Linked DNA regions of Oryctolagus cuniculus. The protein of the gene in region 2 interacts with the protein of the main gene of each other region in a pairwise test. Links are inferred from orthologs where the notes say so. Each region holds a gene or a part of one and is shown on either strand. Other genes may lie near its edges.

The links.
Region 1: the proteins of PRMT1 (region 2) and DAXX interact in a two-hybrid assay, tested with the Homo sapiens proteins (2 studies listed by BioGRID and IntAct). The link is inferred for Oryctolagus cuniculus from reciprocal best matches to the Homo sapiens genes PRMT1 and DAXX.
Region 3: the proteins of PRMT1 (region 2) and HNRNPR interact in binary tests that used the Homo sapiens proteins (3 or more experiments, as listed by UniProt). The link is inferred for Oryctolagus cuniculus from reciprocal best matches to the Homo sapiens genes PRMT1 and HNRNPR.

Annotation. Positions count from the first base shown.
Region 1 is NC_091436.1:135,802,772-135,807,809, reverse strand, and holds the start of DAXX (death domain-associated protein 6), read right to left. Parts: upstream 3,453-5,038; 5' UTR 3,314-3,452; exon of another isoform or gene 3,196-3,313; intron 3,089-3,195; exon of another isoform or gene 2,955-3,088; intron 2,823-2,954; exon of another isoform or gene 2,686-2,822; intron 2,105-2,685; 5' UTR 2,053-2,104; coding exon 1,846-2,052; intron 1,692-1,845; coding exon 860-1,691; intron 760-859; coding exon 545-759; intron 390-544; coding exon 182-389; intron 56-181; coding exon 1-55. UniProt on the Homo sapiens protein: Transcription corepressor known to repress transcriptional potential of several sumoylated transcription factors. Down-regulates basal and activated transcription.
Region 2 is NC_091449.1:7,829,394-7,834,431, forward strand, and holds the start of PRMT1 (protein arginine N-methyltransferase 1), read right to left. Parts: upstream 2,858-5,038; 5' UTR 2,779-2,857; coding exon 2,743-2,778; intron 1,952-2,742; exon of another isoform or gene 1,780-1,951; intron 942-1,779; coding exon 888-941; exon of another isoform or gene 884-887; intron 587-883; exon of another isoform or gene 487-586; coding exon of another isoform or gene 484-486; intron 279-483; coding exon 177-278; intron 1-176. UniProt on the Homo sapiens protein: Arginine methyltransferase that methylates (mono and asymmetric dimethylation) the guanidino nitrogens of arginyl residues present in proteins such as ESR1, histone H2, H3 and H4, FMR1, ILF3, HNRNPA1, HNRNPD, NFATC2IP, SUPT5H, TAF15, EWS, HABP4, SERBP1, RBM15, FOXO1, CHTOP, MAP3K5/ASK1, MICU1 and NPRL2.
Region 3 is NC_091438.1:147,602,509-147,607,446, forward strand, and holds part of HNRNPR (heterogeneous nuclear ribonucleoprotein R), read left to right. Parts: intron 1-1,095; coding exon 1,096-1,311; intron 1,312-4,938. UniProt on the Homo sapiens protein: Component of ribonucleosomes, which are complexes of at least 20 other different heterogeneous nuclear ribonucleoproteins (hnRNP). hnRNP play an important role in processing of precursor mRNA in the nucleus.

The DNA.
Region 1 (5,038 bases), on a different chromosome or scaffold from region 2:
TTCTTTTCAGTGGAGACCTGTGGTGGAGGCCCGGGACTCCTGTCTCCAGCCTCACCTGGAAAAGGAGAGGGGACGGCTGCTGTGAGAACGGGAGACAGCGCCGCTGGGCGAGGGCCAGGTCTCCCACGGGCGGCTCGCGCGCAGGAGGCACTGACAGCGGGGCGACACGCTGCTTACATACCTGTTCCCTCCTCCTCCTCCTCCTCCTCCTCTTCATCTTCCCCCTGACCTTCCTGCATCTGCTCCAGATCCTCCTCCTCTTCGGAATCTGTGGCCTCCTCTTCCTCCTCCTCCTCTTCCTCCTCCTCCTCACTTTCCTCATCTTCTTCATCATCTGTCTCAGCTTTGGAGGTAGTAGGGCACTCCTGGGAAGCCATTCCACTGGGACCCTGGAGGACAAAGGAGTTTCTCTAAGGAATCCCTGGCCTCAGGGGGTTTGGTTCTTGCATTCCCTCTGTACCCCCCCATCCATCACCCTGGAACCCCTAGCGGCCAGCGCAGGGGGAGGACAAGGTCTCTCTGAAGGCTGCTGTCCCTTCCACACCTCACCAGAATCCAAGGAGGCTGTGGGGGAATCTGCAGGCTGGGAAGAGGTGCCTTGGGGGAGGCGGGCTCTTCTCTTCTGTCTCTCGCCTTCCTCACTTCTGTCTTGCATCATTGCGTATTTGGAGATGACCTCGTCTAGGCGGCTCAAGGCCAAGGTCCGGTTTTCCCGAAGGCGCCGGGCCAAGGCAGGATCTGACAGTGCAGGGTCAATGCCTACATGGGAAGATATGACAGCAGAGCACTCAGCCCACACCCTGGCAGAGAGGGCGAGCGGTCCCCTCTGCCTCCGACGGGCACCCCGCTAACCCGCTACCTGGCCTGTAGTCATCCGTGAGGTGGCAGCCGAAGTTGTAGATGAGGTCGAGATGGCGTCGCTCCTGTAGCCTGACGCCCACATCTCGGAAGGCGTCCTGGGCCATGAGCTGGAGCTGCTGGCGCGGGAGGCCGAGGCTGTGCCGGACAGCTGCCTTCTCTACGGCCCGCAGCACATCACCGTAGTCGGGGAAGGTGTCGGGGCCTGGCTTGTTGATGAGCCGCTCGATGCGCCTGTTGACCTCTGGGTAGCGGGTGCCGCGGTAGGGGATGCGCTGCTCTATGACCCGGCCGGTCAGCGAAGAGCAGTCTTTCAGCTCGCACAGTCGCCCAAAGAGGCGGATCAGCTTCCGCTTCAAGCGCGACTCCTGCAGGTACGTGGAGTCTGGGTCATCCAGTTCTGACAGATCCAGCTCCTTCTCCTGCAGCCTCCGGATCTCCGCCACGTACAGTGCCAGCAGCTGCTCTAGGCGCTGGATCTGCCGGCGGGAGCCACGGGTCCTTGGGGCCTCGGAGACAGCGGCCTCAGCATTGCCGGGCTCCGAGGCCGGGTCTGCAGAAGTATTACTCCCAGAGGGCTCACTGGAGGCGGTGGCAGCAGGAGCGAAGTTCAGCTTCTTCTTGGCTGAGTGGGCCTTGAGAACGGTGCAGAGCTCGTTGATGTAGACGTAGAGCTTGGCGGGCCGGCTCCGGGCCCGGGACAGGACCCGAGAGAGGATGTTGCAGAACTCGGCTGAGGCCAAAAACACAGAGTGGGCACGCTGCTGCCGACTGGAGAGGAACGGGACCACCTCAGGGTGGTCCGCTGTCTGCGTCTTACACAGTTCAAGGAACTGGAGGGTTCGGGGGAAGAAGAGAGCGGACAAGAGACAAGGGAGGGGGTTGAGAGAGAGAAGGGGGGGTGCAGTTAGTGGGGGAGAGAGGACCAGAGAGCCAGTGCGCCATCCCCCTCCCTGGGGTATAAGAATCTTCTCCCCTAAAGCTCACCTCTTCAAACAGCTTCTCATTCTCCAACTTGTAGCATTTCTTGCCGCCAGAACTACTGCTTCCTCCGGCCCCATGGGGCTCAGAGGAGCCAGGGGCTTCTGCCTGGGGTGAGGCCGGAGTGGGGGGTGGGTGGGAGGGCCCTGGCTGAGCGACTGCTTCATCTTCGTCATCATCATCCAGCACAATGATGCTGTTAGCGGTGGCCATGAGGGATCAAATCCCCCGGAGGGAGGAAGTGTTGGGGGTTTCAGAATTCCTGCTGGAAGGGGATGGGGCCTCAGAAAGAGCCCCTCCAGCATAGCCCCTCCCTTCAGCTCAGTTTCCAATCTCCGTGGGTTTCAGCAACACCCAGCCCTGCCCAACAGTGTCCTCACTGCCTGTCTTCTGCAACCATTAGCTCTGGATGCCTTCCCGGGCCCTTCAAGTGGCCCAGGACAGGGAACCGCAAACATTCAATCGCCACACCCAGCTCTACCTCTCACATTGGCTTCCGGTCTTTCTGTTCCATCTCCCCACTATTTCTCATAGTTGTCAAGTTGGTTCTTCCAACCCCAGTCCCGCTTCCCAGATTCCCATGACACCCTCACACACGGAAAACACACTCGCTCTGGCTGCCTCACGTCTGGCCCCTTTCACCCCGAAACATGTCAAACCCATACCCCACCCTTAATGATCACCCCAACTCCTAGACAATCCAACAGTCCTCTCAACGATCCATTCTCCTTTCCCCTCCTGCTATTAACTCCGTATTTCACCCTCTGATGGGCTTCTTCAAACCAGGGCACTGGGTTGGAGTATGACACCTCAAGAGCCCTCCCTCTCACCCCACCCTGATTTTACCTGGTCGCTCTCTGTGACTTGTAACCGATCGTGAGACCTACAGTGGGCTCTCCCGATTCTTCTCGGATCCCACCCTTGAGTCGCGCCGGCAGGGTAGATGAGCTTCCCGCCAAGTCCCCCTCCCCCAGGTCAGACCCCTAGCCGCCCCACTTCCCTTCAGGAATAAGGTACCAGAGCATGCCTCTCAGACTCAGAGCCCGCGTCTCCCCAGTACCGCCTCCTCGATATCCCCTCCCCCGTTTTCGCTCCCCACACAGTCCGGCCCGCACCTCAGAAACGGTCTCACGAGACGACCCTCGCCGCTGATCTCAGAACCTCGCATGGTTCCCTCCGCCTTCCTTCCCCCTCCCACCGCAGGCCCCACTACAGACCGGAAGCCGCGGAGTTTCCGCCTACACGCGTATAAGCGCGGCCATATTGTCGTACGGAGCCCAGCCTTCCTGCTTCCGGAAGGCCCCACCGAGCGTGCCTAGTACCGCCCACCTAGCCCGCGACTCCCTTCCCCCTGACCTGTAGGGGGCGGGGCCTGCCCCTTCAGGGCGTCCCGAAGTTGCTGGGGGCCGCCATTTTGTTGTACGGCCCCAGCTCTGCAGTGACTTGGGCCCTCAGCCGGCGGAGCTATTTTCACCTGGTGCTTCTGGGACTCCGCCAATCAGAAACTTCCTGCCTCGAGCCCAACCGCCAGCTAGTCGCGTGCCGAGACCACTGAGCCACCTTTCCCAGGGGTGGGAGGGGGGCAGTGGAATAGGCTGGCTGAAGAACTGGGGTCGCCAAGGCTGTGCATGGCTTCAGGAAAGGGCAGGCGTGTCTAAACGGGGAAATAAAACCTTTTCCTTCCGCTGGGCAATTAGTGAGGCTTCCGGTCCTGCTTTCCTATCTCCCAGGTACCGGTTTCCACCGCTTAATGGGCTTTGCGCCCCTCGCCGCTGCCCGGCCGCCGCTTCCACTTCCAGGTGCTACGTCCCCGGCCGGGAAATGTCGACGCATGCGTACAAACGAGCACCGCGCTCCCTGAAGGTGGTGGTGGTGGTATTACTATCGCTACGTTGTTGTTGACTGGCTTTCCGAGCTCCGCCTCAGAACTAATCAGCGTCCAAGCCGGCGGGACCCGAGCGGCGCTGCGCTGTTCTCCGAGTGGGGCCTGGACGCTGCGGCGGCATCGGCCCCTCGAGGCTCTGTCGTGGGGTCCGGGGGCTGGGGGGAGCAGCTGGGCGATGGCCCCCGCGCGTGCGGGGAGACGCGGTGGTCTCCTGCTCCTCAGGGAGAGCCGAGGACAGAGTGAGGAAGGAGCCGGAGGAGACGCCTCGCGTGGGGGAGGCCGGGCCGCGTCCCGAGGCGCGCTTGCGGGGACAGCGCGAAGCCCACGCGCGGGTGGTGGCCTCCTGCCTCAGGCCCGCGGCCTTGCATCCCTGACGCTTCCTTTGAGAATCCCTGTCACTTCTCGCCAGTCGTCCAGGCCTACAGCCTTCAAATTGAGCAACAAAACTCGCCAAGACCACTGGGTCTTGACAAAGAGGATTTAAGTTTCAGATCCTCAGCTTTCCCAAAATTGGGCTCCCAGAGCGAGCGCCTGCGGTAGAGGTTCTCCCTCTTCCTTCCCCTTCACAATGGACTTTCTCCATCTTATAATAATTCACAGCCGTGAAGTTGCCTGGGTCTCTTACCTGGCTGAAGTCAAAAGACACGTGGTCTATTTCAGCGATGCACCATGAACACAATCTTCTAGCTTATTAAAAATTCGTAATGCAAAAATTTGCACAATCTTTGTGCTGCTTGATAAATTCGTTTTTCATAATTGTAACGATAAATATTTTTAACAAAGAGTCAAAATCGCAAGAAAGACTTTTTTATTTAAAAAAATGTTTTTTATTTGACAGGTAGAGTTAGAGACAGAGAGAAAGGTCTTCCTTACGTTGGTTCACCCCCCAAATGGCCACTACGGCTGGCGCTGTGCCGATCCGAAGCCAGGAGCCAGGTGCTTCCTCCTGGTCTCCCATGCGGGTGCAGGGCCCAGGCACTTGGGCCATCCTCCACTGCCTTCCCGGGCCACAGCAGAGAGCTGTACTGGAAGAGGAGCAACCGGGACTAGAACCCGGCGCCCATATGGGATGCCGGCGCCGCAGGTGGAGGATTAACCAAGTGAGCCACGGCGCCGGCCCCAAGAAAGACATTTTTCATCTCAATTAGTATATATGTACCTTCAGGAAAACGTAAGAGGTTGGTCAATAAAAGATTTTCAAATATAAGAGCATATAGTTGGTGTTGGTGCTGTGGATTAAGACTCTGCCTCTGGCACTGGCATCCCATGTATGGGTGATGGTTCGAGTCCCAGCTGCTCCACTTTCAATCAAGC
Region 2 (5,038 bases):
CCCCACGCCTCCTCTCCCCAGGCAGCCCCTAACAGGTGCTCACGTGGGCGGCCCTGGCTCCTGGCTGCGCCAACCCTAGCTCCTGCAGGCACTGGGGTGAGGGAACCAGCCGCTTCCGATAACATGAAGATATGCAAATATTCCTACGCACGCACAGGCCTCAGGGCCGCACTCACCTCGTGGATGCCGAAGTGGGCGTAGGAGTCAAAGTAGTAGTCTTTGGACGTCATGTCCTCGGCGTTGGGCTTCTCGCTGCCTTCGGCCTGGCCGCAGGACACCTGGCAGGGAGGGGACGGGGCACGGTTAGATCCAGGGGCTCCGCCTCCCCGCCTTTCCCTCAGGAGTGTTACCGAGACCCCCGAATCATAGCCGTGACGGCCCTGGAGTCCCCGCAGCCCCCACAACCTACGATCCCCGTTCGCCACGTCCAGGACCCCCCAGAGCACCGTCCAGGGGAGCGCCCGATGCCGCAGGCCCGCCTACCATCTCTCCAGTCTCTCTGCCCCCGTCTCTAGCTCAGCCCACAGCTGGGGAGGGGAGGGGAAGGGAAGGCAGGACTGGGGCAGACGCGGGGAAGGGCCAGGGGGTTGGAGATGGAGTTAAGGAAGCAGCCACGGAACCGGGGCCAGCAGGGGCCGTGACCCTGGAGGGGTTGGCACTAAGTGTGGCGGGGGCTTCTGGGGAAGCTGGTTTGAAGCCACAGGGACCACCGTGAGGCCTGTGGGAGGGGCCAGCCGTGTGGCGAGAGACTTGTGTGGAGCTGCAGGTGGGGGCGGGTCTCAGAGCGAGACAGACTGATGTGGAGGTGCGGGTGGGGGGCCGGCCGTGTGGGGAGATGGGTTTATGTGCAGGTGCGGGTGGGAGGGGTCTCACAAAAGGATATTTACGTCGTCAAGAGGCGGCTGGAGGCTCATCCCATTAGCCAAGGTGGCTACAAAATTCTAGGAGAGAGTACAGGGAGAGAGGATTAGCTACGGGAGAGGCCAGGGAGGGCCAGTCTCTGGGGAGTGGGATCCCTTCACTTTCCTGCTCCGGGCTGGGCGCTGTGAGGAGGGAGTCAGTGATGGGGCGGTGAGAAAGGGAGGGGAGAAGTGGAGGGAGAAGCGGGGTCTCCTATCCCAGCTGTGGCTGGAGAGATGGCGGCCTGCCCCCACCCCGGCCGAGGACCTGGCGTCCGCCGGGCACACGGGCAGCGCCAGCTGTCCCTCCTGCTCCTTGCCTAATCCCCCCAGATTAGGTGACGCTTCCTCACACCCCATCCCCGGTGCCCTGAATAGCTGGAGCGAGGGGGGCCGGCGGGGTGCGCCCCCAAGGCCTCCCGTGGGGCAGGATTCCAGAAAGAGGGCTGGGCACGCGGCCACCCCCAGCGCCAGCACCCCGGCTCCCGGCTCCCGCCGTGGCTTCAGGAAGCTCCACACAAAACCAGGAAGGGCAGGAGCCGGGAGGCCAGCCCCGCGAGGACGGCCCCACAGGTGGCCCGTCTCGGCCACCCAGACCCTGAAGCCCCCACGCGTGACTTCCGGGAAGTCACTTCCTCCACTCTCCCCAGGAGAGTCAAGGGGGCCCCGCGGGGCAGTGAGTGCTGCACCCCCATCCCGAGAACGCTACGAGGGGTGACAGTCCGCCACACCACACCTCTTCAGAGGGGCCAAGTCACAGGCCACGGCCCACCTGGCTCCAGGCCCTCTCCCCAAATTCTCCCAAGCCAGCGGTATCGAATACCACCCATGCGTGCCCCGTCCCGGGAGGGCTTGCAACCACCCAAACTGGAACCTTCACCCCATGGCTGCACAGGGCCGAAATCTCGCTGCAAACCAGGACCCTCCGTCAGGCCGGGCAAGGTCATCTCCCACGCTCGCACACGCGGGAACCCAGCGGGCACAGCTCACAGCCCGCGCGCGGTGCATTTCTCATCCCATCGCCTTCCCGGCCAACACTCTCCCTCCGCCCACCCTGGAGGGCTCCAACGGGGAGGTGGGCTTGCGGACACGCCCATGAAGAAGGTCCCTCCCACACGCCGAGAACTGGCCACCAGGGGGTGCGCGGCGCCCTATCGGGGAGATCTCCATCTAGGTGCCCCCCCACCGCACAGGGAGGTCACAGGGGCATGACCCATCCCCCAGCTCCCGAAGCCCCGGCCCGGGGAGAGCCCGGGGGCAGAGGAGGAGCTGGGGGGGCGCTGCAATTCTCCATCTCTCTCCCACGCCGCGCGGAGGTCCCTGGCCCCGTGTGCAGGGGGGACCAGCGCCGCCCCCCAAGACTCCTTCCGAGGGGCCGGTCAGCAGGCACACCCCACCCCAGCGCGTGCAACCCGGTCCCCGGGGAGCAGCCCTGGAGGGGCTCTGCGAGGGGGTCGGAGGCTCCCACCGGACCCCCTCCTCCGGGCGGGGGCGGGGCCTTTGTCCCGCACGTGGAGTCCGCCGGGCCACCGGGATCGGCACACCCCCTCCCCACCCACCGCGCCGCAGCCACGTGGGGGCCCGGCCGGAAGCGCCCCCGGCCCTCCTCCACGTGGGAGGGGGGATGAGCCCCTCGGCTCAGCCGGGTATCGAAGGCCCCAGAAAGCGAGGGAACCCCCCAACTCCAGCGATATCCTCAGATCCGGAGCATTCGCCGCTCCCTCCGCGCGGCCAGGGGCCCTTTTAGCCCCACTTCGGCGACTCAGAGCCCCCTCCCCACCGCGGGAGCGTAAAACGCCGACGCCAGGCCGCCCCCATCCCCGGCGGCGCTCCGGGCTCTCACCTCCATGATGCAGTTCGCGGCCTCGGCTGCCGCCATCTTCACCCGCACCTACTCCTCCTCCTCCTCCGGCAGCCGAGACCCCCCCCTTTCTCCTCACTCCCCCGGGACCGCCTTATACCGGAGGGTCGACGACACGCCTACCGCTACCGCGCTAGGAGATTTCATTGGCAACGGCGGCGGCCCGTCTGAAAATACCGTGTAGCAATTGGGTGCCGAAGACGCCCGTCAAAGGCCAGGGCCCTCCCAGTCTGGCGGTCACAGCCCCGCCCCCTTAAGTCGACTGGGATGGGAGAAGCTGCCTGTCCATCTCAAGAACCCCGTCTACTGATTGGACAAAGTTAACCAGGAGTGTCCGCCCAGCACCTCCTCAAAACTTCCCGGCGGTCCTCGCGCTAAGCGGACGTCTTGAAGCAGAGCTGTCCATCAACGAATTGACCCGCCACCTGATCGCTGCTATTGGCTAAGCCGGAAGGTGACGTCACCAGGCCTCTGGCTAGCTCTGGCCGAGCACGGCCCTCAAGGAGAACACGGCAATTGGCCCACGGGGAGCGAGCCAGGCCGGCCTTTCGGCACCAGCGATTGGCTCAGAGGAACTGCCGCTCATCGTCCGTCCGGTGGGTCCTGGCAGCTCGAGGGGAGTCCTGCAGGAGCCGGGGAGCCTGTGCCCGTTCACCCGGGGACAGGAACGGACGCAGCGCGAGGCCCCGAGGCAGGGAGGGCTTGATGGGAGCCAGGCGTGGACGCCTGTCACCCGCGCCCCGTCCTTAACGGCGCCAAGTCTGGGACCCAGCAGCCCCCTCTGGGCCGCCGGGCCTTCGCCACGTCCCGCCTCCTGCCAGGAACGCCCTCCTCCCTTTGTCTGGCCGGCACCCAGCGGTCAGTGCGGGCGTCCGGCCGCTGCCGCCTCCGGGAAGCCCTCCCGGATCTACACGCAGGCACGCAGTGGAGGCTAATGCCGGGCGCTGAGTGCGTGCACCCCGCCGCAGTCCTCGGGCCGGCGCCTTTCCACGCCCCGGCGGGCTTCCCGCCCGGTCCACTCGAGCACAGGGAGGTTCCCTGGATGACCTATCAGCTCGCCTCCCGCTCTCCAGGGCTCCCCGCGTCCGAGCACCGGGCCCCCGCCCCTGCCTCCCACCCGCTCCCTAGCACCCCCGAGGGCAGAGGCGGAGAGCGCGAGCGAGCACACTCCCACTGCCTGGGTCTCCGCCCCAGATGTCCCACAAAGGCCAGGCCCAGAAGCTGGGCGCCTGGAGCTCCGTCCCGGCCTCCCACGTGGGTGGGGGGCCCAGCTGCTGCGGTTTAGTAGGGACCTGGAGCTGGAGCCAGGCATAGAGGGCGGGATGTAGGGGCCTCGTCGGTTAGGCTGAAAGCCCGCCCCTCAGATTTAAATGAATGTAGCCCCTCCCCCAGCACGCCATTGCTTAGAGGGAGAATCGCTCGGGGAGGGGGGGGGCAAGGCGGTGTTTCCATCTCAGAAAGTAGAATGGAAACATTTGGGGTTCTGCTAAGCCAGTTTTATTCGAGGTGCAGGTCACGGACATTACACGCACCCAGTTTAGTTTGGTGAAACCGCTTACGTAGGTGGCAGGTGGGTGCGGAGGGCTGCGCTGGGCCAGGCCAGACCCCACCCGGGTCTCCCAGGCCATCCTGCAGGGAGCTTGACATGGGGAGGCGGCCCCACCCGCTACGCCACAGCGCCAGCCCCTGTGGCAGGCCTGTTTGGGCCTGGCGGGCCCAGACGAGCCTGGAGAAGTCCACGTGGGTCTCCCAGGGGGTGGCAGGGACCTGGGTGTCCGGGTCACTGCCCCAGCATGCATGCAGAGCTGGATAAAGTAGAGGAGCTGGGACTTGAGCTGGCACTCCGGAAAGTTCTGGCAGGAGGCACCCCTTGTGCACCCCGCCACCATCAGCGGGCACTTTGCACGCGCCCGCCCCTGGGAGCCAGCACCTGGGTTTTCCCGAGGGCGCCGCACAGCCTTCCAGGCCGGAAGTCGAGCTCACCCCCGGAAGAAACAAAGTTGAAAACGCAGGACACAAAGTAGCGGCTGCAGGCCCGACACAAAGTGCCCGCTTGCGGCCCCCAGGCCCCGCCCTCCCCGGGAACCCAGCTCTGCTCTGGGAAATCGGCTTGGCCACCAGGGAGCTCCAGACCGCACTGTGCCGGAAGCCCAGGCTTTGACACATTCTGGGGCGGGCGCTGGCCCGAAAATAGCCGGAAAGCCACTGCCCTACAGGTAGAGGAGAAACCAGGAGAAAGGTTGGGGGGCAGAGTCCTGGATCCCCAGGAAGGCGGACG
Region 3 (4,938 bases), on a different chromosome or scaffold from region 2:
CCATTCCAAGAGAGTGGCACATGCCAAGTCTCCAAGGCAAGAAAGAACTCAGTATATTAATGTAACTGAGAGAAATGTGTTGTTAAGAGGTAAAATAAGAGTAGAATCACATGAGGTAAAAAGGCAGAGTTTTTGTGGACCATGTAAAGAGATTGGATTTTATTCCAGAGATTATGAGAAAGGCATTCAAAGGTCTTAAGCAGGGAATAACATCTGTTTCATGTTTGCAGAATGTTATTCTGCTGCTATGTGGATAAAGGTTTGGAGAGAGAATCAAGAATAGAAGCTGATAAATTAGTTGAGGCTGTTGGTAGTTCAGATAGAAGACTGGACAAAGATATTAGCCGTGGAAAGCAAAAGAAATGAGTTGGGAACTGGATAGAGATGAAGCAAAGGAAGAAATCAAGAATACCTCATCAATTTTTGGCTTGAGAGCCAAGTAGATGGCACTGTTTACTAGATTGGAAGATACTAGGAAAGACAGATTTGGGGCATGGTGGTGTGATTTGGCTTGTGGTGTTGGAAGTGTCATAAGGGGACATGGTAAGCAAACACATCTGGCGTTTATAATGATATACATAGTATCTAAAAGCACACCTGAATGATATTATCTGGAAAATACACATGAAGCGATAAGGCAAAGGACTGATATCAGCGGGACGCCAGTAGTTAGTGACCACCTTCATTTCTAGTGAAAATAGTAATTTTTAAGTTAGGTTTAATTTAAGATTTTTGTAACTGATTTGTTATTAAAAGTTAGTTCTCTTGGGTTTATATTAAATTTGTTTTTAGGGTCTTAAAATAATATTTAAATTATGAGGCTAAGTTATATCAAATATTGTAAAATATTGTAGAACTTTAAATATACCAGTGATTAGACCTGTTACATATGGCTGTACCGTTAGGCCCCTAAAATTAGAGGGGAATGTAAAATACTGTGCCACACTGTATCAAATTATGCTGATCTAATTGTCTACTAGGTAACAAGTGACTCATTTTGAGGTTTCTTCGATTAATTTTTGTCGGCAAATGGGTTTAGGTCTGCCTGATCGTTAGGTGTGTGGTGGATGCTTTTGGCTTATATATCTGGCTGTTGGTTTAACAGAGGGTTTGGTGGACGTTATTCTCTATCATCAACCCGATGACAAAAAGAAGAATCGGGGGTTCTGCTTCCTTGAATATGAGGATCACAAGTCTGCAGCACAAGCCAGACGTCGGCTAATGAGTGGAAAAGTAAAAGTATGGGGAAATGTAGTTACAGTTGAATGGGCTGACCCTGTGGAAGAACCAGATCCAGAAGTCATGGCTAAGGTAAATGCAATTACTTGGGGTGGGGGTAGGGATATCATTTCAATTTTGTACTAATAATAAAGCTCAAATATTTTGAGTTTTCTGATTAAATACAAATTGTAGCTATTATCTTTTAGCTGTTTAGTCACGAACTGATTTAACACTGAGGCTACAGACTGTCTTGGTGTCCTGTAATAATTTCCATTAATCATCCCTTTTCCTGCAGATTAAATGTGTAAGAGGAAATGAAATAAAATCCCTTCAATTGAAAGTATTTCATACCACTATTTTCTGTATCCCACATAGTGTTATGCACACATAAGGATACAGACTTTTAAGATGAGGTCTTGTTGAGTAAAGAGAGAAGTAATGTTTTGGAGTTTATAAACTAAAGTCTTTACTGACTGTACTGCAACTTTTATTATGTGGCTTTGAATTCTTTTATTTAGATTTATAGCTAATTTTTCTTTCAATTTCCCTTAGAGTATTGAGCCCCATGAAGAAAGGCAAAGGATTGTTGTGTTTGCTATTAATTGATAGTGGCAAAATATACATGACAATTCCTGCTGTCAGTTTCTTCCTACCTCCTATGCTTGTGTTGCCAGGATTTTACCTGTCAAATGGTGGTGCCGCGAATCCTGGTTTTTATGTTTTCTTTTGGATGACTTCTAGGGTTCAAGGGACACATCGGTTGAATCTGCTGTTTGTGTTGGGTTCTTGACTCTTTCAGTTACGTCTCCTCTCTCCTTAGGGAGGCATCAACTCTGATGGCTGTGATAACTGATTGGATTCTTCTTGACTGAGAATTCCTTTCCTTAAGCTTTTTATTCTAGGTTTTGAGGAGGCAAGTTGTCACTAGTTTGGAGATGGACTCCGGTTTATACTAGTATGATATAGTCTTTGTAGGCAAAAACAGCTTTGAATTATGCAGAAAAAAATCCATTGAGAATGAACCAGAGAGGCTCTCAGAAGTGCCATTCAAATGTATCTTTTATCATATTGTTTGAGTAGATGAGCGACTAGGAAAGGAGGTGAGAATATATCCCTAATTTTTTTTTTATTTCTGGTTTTTATTAGCTTAATTCCAGCTGTTTCTTCTCCTAATATAATTATGGCTTGGGACAATCTACTCAACTTAGATTTTGTTTATTTTATTGGGGTTAGATAAATATGTTATGATCCACTACAACTTTGAATCTATCTGTAGAAACTAAATGTAGCCTATTTGTTTTTTCTACTTGAGAAAATCTAAAAATAGCAATTTAGATGTATTATAAAATCTGGAAACCTAAAATATAGCTAATAATTTGCTTATCAAAACTTTTTACATGCTGCTGGTAACCTTTCATATAGTTTTATCTTAAATCATTTTTAGGGTTAGAAAATCTCAAAATTTTATTCTGCTGTTTGTTTGCTCATTAAAACTTCCACTTTTCACTCTTAGCAGTGTTCATTGAAGAATCTTTTGCCAATTTGGGTTAGTTTTATAATCATTAAGAACTTCAGGGGCCCAGTCTTTGGGCCCCCTGCACCGCATGGGAGACCCAGAAGAAGCTCCTGGCTCTTGGCTTCAGATCGGCCCAGCTCCAGCCGTTGTGGCCATTTGGGTAGTGAACCAGTGGGTGGAAAACCTCTCTCTCTCTGTGTTTGCCTCTCTGTAACTCTGCCTTTCAAATAAATAAATAAATCTTTAAAAAAAAATGGTTGCATCAGGCATTAAAATCGAAAAAACAAAAGAAAGAACCTAAGAGCCTAAAGAGACTTTTCCTGTATTTTTTTTTTAAAGATTTATTTATTTATTTGGAAGGCAAAGATACAGAGACCTGGACTTAAGCGGACTTGGGCCATCTTCTGCTGCTTTCCCAGGCCATGGCAGAGAACTGGATCCGAAGTGGAGCAGCCAGGACTTGAACCATTGCCCATATGCGATGCCAGCACTGCAGGCAGTGGCTTTACCTGCTACGCCACTGCACTGGCCCCTTCTGTTAAATATTTTAAACAATTCTATCAAGTAACTTTTAGATGGTAGGTTGTGGTTTCTTCACAGAAAAGAATAAAAGATCGATGTTGTTGTTTGAGGTGAAAAATCAGTGTTGGGGAGATTGATATTTAGACTAGACCTCCCTCAGTTTGACAGTGTTGAGAAAAAGGGGAGGGAGTAGAGGTGAAAAGTATCAGTCCTCACCCTCTTTGAATTAATACTCTCCCTAAATTCTTTTTATTCATATAGCCCTTTGAGGCAACAGTGTGTTCAGTAGCTATATTAATTTTTTGTTTGAGTAAGTAATATATGTGCTTACTTAAAAAATCATAAATTATATAGAAATATATAGACAATGGAGTTCCCACTTCTCCTGTCCTTAATTCTTCCATGGATGGTTGTTGGTAACTCACTATATTCACTTTTTTTAAAAAGATTTATTTATTTATTTATTTGAAAGTCAGTTACAGAGAGAGAGGGAGAGATAGAAATCTTTCATTTGCTGGTTCACTCCCCAAATGTCCGCAGTGGCTGGAGCTGGGCCTGTCCAAAACTAGGAGCCTGGAGTTCTGGATCTCCTTCTTGGATGCAGGGCCCCTAGGACTTGGACCATCCTCAGCTGCTTTCCCAGTCACATTAGCAAGGAGCTGGATTGGGAGTGGGATGTTGACACTGCAAGTGGTGGCTTAACCTACTGTGCCACGTGCCAGCCCATATTCACACATCTCTATTTGCTTTGTTATTCTGTTTCTCCGCCAAGTGGGAACCCTGTAGAAGCTCCTGCCTTCAGCCTGGTCCAGCTCCAGCCATTGTAGCCATCTGGGAAGTGAACCAGCAGAGGGAAGATTCATTCTGTCTCTCTTTCTCTTTTTCTCTGTGTGTATGTGTCTTCCTCTCTCTGTAACTCTTTCAAATAAATGCATAAATAAATAAATATTTTTAAAAAGTATAAAGTGTTGCCAATAGTGTGGCACAAAGCTTGCTTACCATATTGACTGTAAATTTTTACTCCCATTTCAGAGATACAAAAATGGGGGGAAATGTGTCTTACCGATAGTGTATCCTAGCAATCTCTATATCAGCCCATAGAGCTCATCCTAGTTACTGTGGCTGCATAATATTCCATTCTGTGGGTGTGCCGTAGCACATGCATACTTGCTGGATGTTTCTGTCCCCCCATTTTTTTTTGTTAACAATACTGTAATGAATGAACTTGTACCACATCAGATGATAGAAGTACAAATGTATCTGTAAGATGGATTGTAGGCTGAAGCTAAATGGATCTGTAATTATTAAGATATTACCATATTCTTCTCTGTAGGGGATGTACTGGTATATTCTATCACCAGCACAATATAAGAGGACTGTTTTCCTCATCCTTGACAAAATAGTGTGAGATCACACTTCTGGATTTTGCTGGTCTGATAATATGGTATCTCAATGCTGTTACGACTTGTATTTCTTACTATGTATGAGCTTGAGCTTTTAATGTATTTGGAGGACCATGTGTTTCTTTGTATTAAACCATGGATTCATGAATTTGCTTATTTTTCATTTGTTGGGATTTTTCTTATTTTCTGATGCTTTAATAGAAAAGATTATCTCTGTGATATGTCATTTTCCTTTTGACATTACTTATGGTATTTTTTGCCATATAGAAGGCATTT